2 linked regions of the Macaca fascicularis genome follow. The protein of the gene in region 2 interacts with the protein of the main gene of each other region in a biochemical or structural test. Links are inferred from orthologs where the notes say so. Each region holds a gene or a part of one and is shown on either strand. Other genes may lie near its edges.

The links.
Region 1: the proteins of GRB2 (region 2) and MET form a complex in vitro, tested with the Homo sapiens proteins (3 studies listed by BioGRID and IntAct, with this or other methods). The link is inferred for Macaca fascicularis from reciprocal best matches to the Homo sapiens genes GRB2 and MET.

Annotation. Positions count from the first base shown.
Region 1 is NC_088377.1:158,137,024-158,141,992, reverse strand, and holds the start of MET (hepatocyte growth factor receptor), read right to left. Parts: upstream 3,299-4,969; 5' UTR 2,880-3,298; intron 1-2,879. UniProt on the Homo sapiens protein: Receptor tyrosine kinase that transduces signals from the extracellular matrix into the cytoplasm by binding to hepatocyte growth factor/HGF ligand. Regulates many physiological processes including proliferation, scattering, morphogenesis and survival.
Region 2 is NC_088390.1:81,722,213-81,726,445, forward strand, and holds part of GRB2 (growth factor receptor-bound protein 2), read right to left. Parts: intron 3,253-4,233; coding exon 3,084-3,252; intron 1,981-3,083; coding exon 1,795-1,980; 3' UTR 1-1,794. UniProt on the Homo sapiens protein: Non-enzymatic adapter protein that plays a pivotal role in precisely regulated signaling cascades from cell surface receptors to cellular responses, including signaling transduction and gene expression.

The DNA of each region.
Region 1 (4,969 bases), on a different chromosome or scaffold from region 2:
GGTTTTCAAGTTCCAATCTTTGATTTTTTAAAAAAAATTCTATTATTTCATAGCAAATAGGATGATTTCAAAAGTGTTTCTCGTGTGATGTCCTCTTAATAATTATGAATTTGGGTTCATTTTATATGTGATGTTTGTCTGTATATCTAGATTGTAAACTTCTCAAGGGCAGATTCCATTTTTTTCTTTTAAAGAAAATGCTGTAGTACCTAGCACATATGATACTCAACCTATAGGTCCTAGCTATTTTTGTTTGGGCAAATGTGGATCTGGCAGCAGCTCAGTGTCAGTTGAGAACACATCATCAGAGTGATTCTGAACTAACATTAGTCAGTGTATCTATCATCTATTACTGAGAAGTGACTATTTATTTTGCACTGAGCAAAACCCATGAAGAAACTCTGCCCTGAGGGCTTGGTGTCAAAAATACTAGTTTCAGCATATACCAGCCAGGAAAAGAAGGCTCACTTCCTGACACTTGAGTTTCTATATACATTTTCTCCCCTTAAGAGGGCACAATGAGGAAATTGAGTATCCCATGAATAAACACAGCAGAACAAGGAAATCTTAGGGATTTAGACCATGGAAAAGAAAGCGTAGATGGCTCTGGTGAGAATCACTAAGCCTAATGCCTAAAGAAGAAACCAGCAAACTGGGCTGGAGAAATGGGGGCACAGAAGGCCTTGAAAGCAGCTCTGACCAAACCAAAGGAAAAGGTTGAGTAGGAAGAGGACAGAGAAATGGGAGGTAATCCGAATGTGTGAGGAACTGTGCTCACCATGGGGGTGTCATCACGTCCTTGGTGCAGCCACTTGGAGAAAATGAGCCAGTTAGAGGATATTAGCCCCTCTGAGTTATTCACCTTGTTTTGAGATGACCACATTTGAGAAAAAGTGTATTTGAGACTATTATGTAGTTCTGCAGAAGGATAATTAGACTAATGCTATTTCAAACGCTATTTTCACAACAGCTAAGGAAATTGAGTTTTGAAATGTATTTCTTAGTTTAGCCTTCATTCAGACAAAATTTTTTTAAAGACTTCAAGATTAATGCAAGGCATATACTTACATAGTCTTAAAAGGAATTTATAAAATATGGGTATTTCTCCTGCTTAGCAAAGGGTCATTTTTCTCTATTATAGGTTTAAAAGTAGTGAAAATATTAGTTATGAGCTTTCATATTGACTGGCTGTGATTAATCTGCTACATTTTTATCATGAAGATAAACTCCATCCACTAATTTTGAAAGCATGTAGTATACATCTGATGTAAACCCCTATTGCCATGTATCAAGAACAAAGCAATTTTGAAAAAGCAGTAGTCGGTAGACCATCTTCTATATGCCACAAATTCCATCATGTTAAAAGCAAAACATATTTAAGTTAATAACTATAGCTTATGCACCATTAAGTTTGAAAACTGAATAGAATTTTTAAAACACCAGCACATTTTATAGGCTATCAGACACATTTTTCGTACTACAAAAATTTCTTATGAATGATGTAAATTTTCCCTCTGTTATTCAGCAGTTTAAAAAGAATGAACATTGAATACACCACAGACTTGCAAATGATAGGAACCAAAGTACCTCACTTATGTTCCATTATGGAAGTTTACATGTTCAAAACAAAGCTCAATTAGCTTAAAACAAGCAAGGAAAGCTATGTACCTGTAAATAATCCAAGCACCACTTACACTATTTACATAAAAATGCAATTTATGTCCTTGTAGCACATAGAAACACGATGTACATCATTTTCAGATCATCTTCATGCAGAAAAAATTCATTAGTCAGCTATAATAGTTTAGCTGTAAGGGGATATAATGTTTTTCTGAATCTATTTGCATGGCAATGTGCATGTGTCTGGCTGATGGAAGCGACAGAATAAACCTCCACCCAAAGCTACAGAATGTGAACAGTCTTCTTAAAATTCAAGAGAGGGTCCAGATAGTCTATATTGCCTCCAACGTCAGTTTTTACAATCCTCTCACATCCATGGACCATCTTAACATAGCAATTAAAGTATCTTGATTATTTTGCCTAAGAGAGTTGACAATATTTCATTCTGCCCGAGGGCTCCTTTGAACATAAAACTGTGATAAGGTAAAATACACTGGGCAACTATTCATGCGTGAGCCACTGGAGCCCTCTCCAACTGCCAAATTAGCAAATGGCTCTTTTAAAACATGAAAGATATGAATGGGAAACCGTACTTGGGAGTAAATTCTGCATTGACAATAGTCAGGGAAAGTACTTTCACTGGTGCTTTAATTATCGGGTCAGCACTACGACTGGCCACATTGCCCAGCCTCTGGTTATAATCTATTTCACCTAATAAGATAGATGTCCTCCACAAGCCCCAGAAAGAGATAAGGTACGATGGAAAATTGATGGATCACAAGCCCCGCGTGATTGCCAGAAATGAATTCAGACTTTCACAGAAACACCTACCCCTTGGAAGGACCCCAGCATAACACAGATAAAGCAAGGCTGGGAACAAGGAAACAGCTAGGCTCAAACCTTGCGGGCTGCATCACGGTGGGACGAGGATGACCGGATCCTTTTTGTAAGGGCTGAGTCAGATCCCAGCTTTAAAACTTGCTGGGCCATAACAGTCATACATTACCCACTGTCCCAGTGCCCCTCTCCCTCCTAAGTCATACAGGTGGCCATCAGAGGCAACACCCTAAAACGACAAGCCCCATTCTAGTTTCGTCCTCCCCTGGCCACGTCTCTTCAGTTTCCGAAGCCCGTAAACTCTAGCCCACCTCCGTGGTTTTCCCCCTGGAACAGCAGTCAGGTCTCTTAGGGGAACAAAGAAAGCAGAACCGCTGGGGCGAGGGCTGGGGTGCGGGATTTGAAAGGGGCTGCAGTTTTACCTTGCGGTGCCCAGGAACCAGTGGAGAAGTCAGCGGCGCAAGGACCACCCGCGCGCTCCGCGCCTCCCCGCCTCCTCGAAGCAAGTCAGCTGTCGCCCCGCATCTGGCTCGCGCCCTCCACTCGGCTCTGCATCTGCTCACAAAGCGCTCCGGGCGCCGCGGGCGGCGAGGGCCTCCGGGTCACCTGCGGCCGGGCCGAGCCCAGCGCCCCGCCCGCCCGCTCGCCGGCCGCGCTCCCTCCGCCCCTTCCCACACGCGCGCTGCCCTGCCAGTGACTCAGCCGGGCATCGGCGCGCGCGGCCCGTGGCGGCCCGGGCGCGTTGGGGCCGGAGGCACCGCCAGGCGACCAGACCGAGGCGCTCGCCTGCCCGCCCCAGCACGTGTACGTCTGCCTCGCGCGCTGTCCGTCCGCCTAGTCCGCGGGTTCCGAGGACCGCTGAGGTGGGGATTGGCACCACCCAGAGGGAAATCGGCCCCCGCCCTTCCTGCCGTCCGCGCCGCGCCTGGCCCCGCGGGGGTCGCGTTTCCTGCCGCCTCTGCCCCGCCCACGACAAGGTGAAACTTTCTAGGTGGAGAAGTTTTCTCGCCCTGGCTGCGCGCTCTCCTCCCCCAGCTCAGGCAGACTGAAGTTAGCACAGCCGGAGATAAGCGGGACCGAGACTCCCCCTCCTGGCGCTTGGGAGGCGAGTGTCACCCCGGGCGCAGAGGCAGGGCGCGCACCCTCCTGGCACTCCGCTCGCTGACCCCGGGAAGGGCGCGAGCTCTGCTCTCCGCTTCTCCCACGTCTCCGCTAACCGCCCCGCGCCCACCCGAGTATAGAGAGATTTGGGCACCGCAGACACACTGTTAGAGGCGGCGGTAGAAGTGGATGGATGAATTGTCCCAATGATTTCATTATGCAACGATTATCCTCTACTGTAATAACTCAGATTTCTGCAAGGAAGAACAACAGAGGAGTTTAACCACGAGGAGACTTCCATTTCTTTTTCTTTTTCTTTTTTTCATAGCCAGAAGCAGACTGATTAAATAACTGGGCAAATAGCGATGAACAAGCAAAATAGAACAAAAGTTTAATTCTTGAATGTTGAAGTCTTACGATGATTTTTAAAACAGAGCTTTTGGGGCCTTGGTGTACTCTATTAGGTGTAATTGTGTTGGGATAACTTTATATTTCGCTATAAAAATTGACACCTACAATAGTAAATGAACACTCAAAGGTAGTAGGATCTAAGGAACGGGCATTGCTGGTTAGGACTTGAATTCGTTCCGGCTCTTATATGGGCCTGTTCAAGCATCTCACACGGGCTTGTTCAATCATGGTAATAGATAATGAGACATAGATCTCTTCGTTATTGAAAGTCATGGGTTAAAATAACAGTTACTATGCAGGTTCAGGTCTTATTTACTACAGAATGGAAGATAGAAAAATACAGTGAGAATAGTTATCATTTCCCAAGTGCCAGGCATTACCAGAAGTTACATAAGAGTGATTTCAATCTTCAAAAGAGATTATCTCGTGATTCCCCAGTTTTATGGAAAAGGAAAGTTCCCGTTACGTTACTATTGAATTGAACCATTTGCAGGTAAAGAAACTGAGTCCCTAAGAGTTCCCGGAAGAGTCACACATCTGGTTAGTAAGAGGGGCAAGGTTAGAACTTAGCTCTCAGCCCAGTCAGGTGTCCTTCACACCATACCAAGAGGCCTCCGCTGGCTAAATAAACAATGCGACCTGACTGGAGATTTCCTGATACTGCATGGCATAATTTATCAATGACTACAGCTCATTTAAAACAAAAACAAAAACAAAAACAAAAAAACAAATTTACTGGTTATAAGGCACTTGGCCTATTTATGGACAGATCAATTACAGATTTTGGGTTCAGTAACAGCTTTCAATAAAAGGTGAATAAATTAATGAATTTAAAAAGTTTTACACACACACACACTCACACACACAGCCATGGTTGTCTAAAGGAATGATTAGAGTGCTGTTTCTATTTCCTGGTTTCCATAGCAATATGTTAACTGGATTTTTAGATCACATTATGTAGTTGCCTTAACAGGTTTTCTGAGTTTGAGTGCCATGATAA
Region 2 (4,233 bases):
GAAGACAGAGATCTCTGCCGAGGCCTTGGTCTTTCTTTCCAATCTTGCCTTCCCCAACTCTCCCTGCTTCCTGGGACCATCTGTAGGGGTGGGGAGCAGCAGTCAACACAGCCCACTGGCAAGGGAGGCACAAGCAGCACTCTGGCTTCCCAATGCTGCCCTCACGCTCATCTGGACAGGTCAGAGGACACAGGATGAAAGCCACAGCCCAATCTAAGAGCAAGACAGGTGAGAAGTGAGTACTCTCATTGTGCACTCCAGCATAGGAATAAGGTGAAACCTGCTACAACTGGAGGCTGCGTTCCCATGACTTCCTCCTTCGCTCTCCTTGTCTGGGGCTTGCTGGTTCCAGGGGTGCATATAGTGATGGGGTGGGGGCCACAACCCCTGAGACAGTGAGGACAGGCTTCCAACCCCCTGTAAGCCAGATCCAGTGGGATGTGGGAGAGCTGGGTGGTCACCTTCCCTCTTGCCCCGGTGGCCCGTCACACTCACACTGCAACCTGGACAAGCAGTTCCCTGAACCCCCAAGGGGCTCACACACCTTAAAGCTGGAGCTTAAAGCCTCCTGGCTTAGTACAAGCAGGAGAATGCTTCACCTTGTACTCCTGCTTGTCTCCCTTGCTCTACCCTGCCCCAAGGGAAAAATATTTACACAGAGTAGGAGACAAATTGGCTGAAAAGCTCTGGACTGTCTTTAACTTATTTTAAAACAAAACAAATTAAAAACAAAAACAAAAACAAAAAACACCACCACTCAGAAGCAACCCTCGAAATAAGGAAAAAGGCACTATGAAAAAACAACATGCTCGATAATCCCACTGGAAGGGCCAACAAAGTGGAAAGAGACAGGCTGTTGGGAGGGCTTTTTTTTTTTTTTTTTGAGATGGAGCCTCGCTCTGTCACCCAGGCTGGAGTACAATGGCATGGTCTCGGCTCACTGCAACCTCCACCTCCCAGGTTCAAGTGATTCTCCTGCCTCAGGCTCCCGAGTAGCTGGGATTACAGGCGCATGCCACCACACCCAGCTAATTTTTGTATTTTTAGTACAGACAGGGTTTTGCCATGTTGGCTAGGTTGGTCTCGAACTCCTGACTTTGTGATCCACCCACCTTGGCCTCCCAAAGTGCTGGGATTACAGGCGTGAGCCACCACGCTGCCCGGCCCAGGCAGGCTTTCTAGGGAAGCCATGGAGGCAGCGACATGCTTTCCTTCTACCCCACTCTACTGCCAACTTGGACAAAATACACTGGGGGTCTGGGCTGGAAGGCAGATTCCTACAAGCCCCCTCCTCTGGAGGAAGTTAAACAGCAAAGGTGTCGAGCTGCCCTGCCCGCTCCTTTTTGTGTGTATATACGAAGAACACAGAAAGAGTGGTTCTTCTTTCAGTCATTCCAACTAAAACAGACATTTTGCATAGAGAGAATACCAGCCCACTTGGTTTCTTGTCTTTTATTATTGGCGTCAGCTAGGACTATACGTGGCCTTAAACGTCATGCACTGATGGACAGAAGAGAAAAAAGGATGAAAAAAAGGGCAAAGGAGGGGAAAGAGGAGCAGCAGTGAAAATTTGTAATAAAAACTCTTCTTAATTTATAGGTAAGTTTTGGCATTTTTAAATCCAACACCCCCTCCCACCCCCTAAAGTTCCAACCAAAGTGAGAGGGTCACAGGGTGACCCGGCCAGGTGTTCTGCACTCCCTCACAGGCTGCTGTTAGTGGCAGCTTGTGGGTTTAATTCTTTTGTATGTGTTTTACATTTTTCACTTTCTTTAAATAATTGCTTCTTGATTCTTAGACGTTCCGGTTCACGGGGGTGACGTAATTGCGGGGAAACATGCCGGTCTGCCCGTGGCAAGCTCCTTTCCACCAGTTGGGGTCTGAGTTATCCATGACATGGATAAAATCTCCCCGGCGGAAGCCCAGCTCTCCATCCTCCTGAGGATCAAAGTCAAAGAGGGCCTGGACGTATGTCGGCTGCTGCAAAACAGGAGCAGGAAAAACCCATATTGCATTCCTGGTCTGTGGCCGGCCACCTCCGAGGCCAGACGGGTTCCAGGGGGAAACGAATGCGTGCCAAATTCTCCATGTTTTCTAAACTCACCTCCCATCTCCCAACCCCCCATTTATTCTTACCTCTTCTAAGTTTACAGGCCAAGCGGGTTTAGTGTGATCTTTCCCAGTGCTCAGAAAATGCTAGAGTATGTCTCCCAGAGGAGGGTGGCCAACTGTGCCATATTATCAAGTAGAGGGCAGGCAGTGCTTGGAGGGGAAAGTTCTTCAGAAACAGCCGTCTGTGTTTAGGCTGTGGGCCCAGAATCTGCAAATCCCTTCTACCACACCCTTAAGATATTAGAGCCTAAAATTCTGGAGCTCGCATAACATAAGGGACTCTAACTGTAACTTATGACCAGGGCTCGAGGGACAGGAACGGTGCCGACCTCACTCCCTCACAAGCATAGTTTTCCTCATAATTTGCCTCCAGGGACAGGATCTTTGGGTGGGTGTGTTAAAGACCATCTCCCTAGAGAGACTGGCAAGCTGGCTACACACTGCCTCTGGAAAAGCAAAAATCCTATATTTAAAACAACAAATCTTTCTTTTTCTTTTTCTTTTTTTTTTTGAGATGGAGTCTCCCTCTGTCACCCAGGTTGGAGTGCGGTGGTACAATCTCAGCTCACTGTGACCTCCACCTCCTGGGTTCAAGCGATTTTTCCATCTCAGCTTCCCAAGCGCAGGTGGGCGCCACCACATCTGGCTAATTTCTGTATTTTTAGTAGAGACAGGGTTTCACCATGTTGGCCAGGCTGGTCTCAAGCTCCTGACCTCAAGTGATCTGCCTGCCTCAGCCTCCCAAAGTGCTGGGATTACTGGCATGAGCTACTACGCTGGGCCAGAAACAAGAAATTTTTAGTGTGAATGGAAGGTAACGTGTTCAGTAACGAGCACAGAAGCCCCAGTGGCAATCCCTGAAGGGCGCCTGCATGTTGATTGAGGGTCACCTCCCCCTTCCCACAGGAATGCACACTGAGGAGCTATTCTTAATTTCTAAAATGATCCCATCTCACCCTGATGAGGCTTACCTGTGGCACCTGTTCTATGTCCCGCAGGAATATCTGCTGGTTTCTGGAGACAGATGTAGATCTGTGATAATCCACCAGCTCATTCAAAGAATTGAACTTCACCACCCAGAGGAAGTACTTGCCGGCTCCGTCTCGGAGCACCTTGAAGTGCTGCACATCGTTTCCAAACCTGGGAGGGACAGAGAGCACATGGACCGGCTAAAGGCTCTAACCTGGCAAATCGAAGGCTATCTGCCCATATAAGCGATATCCTGAGAGAACCACTGTCCCGGCAGCACTCCTCAGGGACTGCAGAGTAACAAGCTTCCTCACTGCGTGTCCCTGGAACAGACCCCTCCCTATGACTGATGGGCACCAGGACAACATGAAGAAACCAAACAGGGACAGGCCATCAGTCACTCTCATTCTGAAGATGTTTGTAAGATAAAGAGTCCAGGCTGGGCACGGTGGCTCACACCTGTAATCCCAACACTTTGGAGGCCAAGGCGGGCAGATCACTTGAGGTTGGGATTTCGAGACCAGCCTGATCAACATGGAGAAACCCCATCTCTACTAAAAATACAAAAGTAGCTGGGCGTGGTGGTGCATGCCTGTAATCCCGGCTACTCGGGACACCAAGGCAGGAGAATCACTTGAACCCAGGAGGCGGAGGTTGCAGTGAGCTGAGATTGCGCCACTGCACTCCAGCCTGGGTAACAAGAGTGAAACTCTGTCTCAAAAAAAAAGAAAAAAACAGTCCATGTGCCCTGAACCCTAACAAATAAAACAGCCTTACTTAAGACAAAGAAGTGTGACTTAACTTCCTTTGAATAAAAAAATAATTAAAATGTTATATGCAGGAAGAAGGTGAGGAGGGCTGGAAATACTTTCAACAATTCTCTCGTAACTGCGAATAGTTCCAAGTCATGTTTTCCATTCAGGAATTTTAGATCCACTCACGGGGAAAAGGTCTCTGAATGAAAGGACACACTGGCACAATAAAAGAGGCCCAGGCTTCGAAACCCAAAAGCTTCTCCATCACCAGATCACACCCTTTTACACTGGCTAGCAAAACCAGCAACAGTGTGGCTGGCTGGTACTAGCTCACAGGGTCTGTCACAGGATATTTGGCTAGAACACCAGCCCAGCGAGGGCGCTTCTGCCTGTCCTG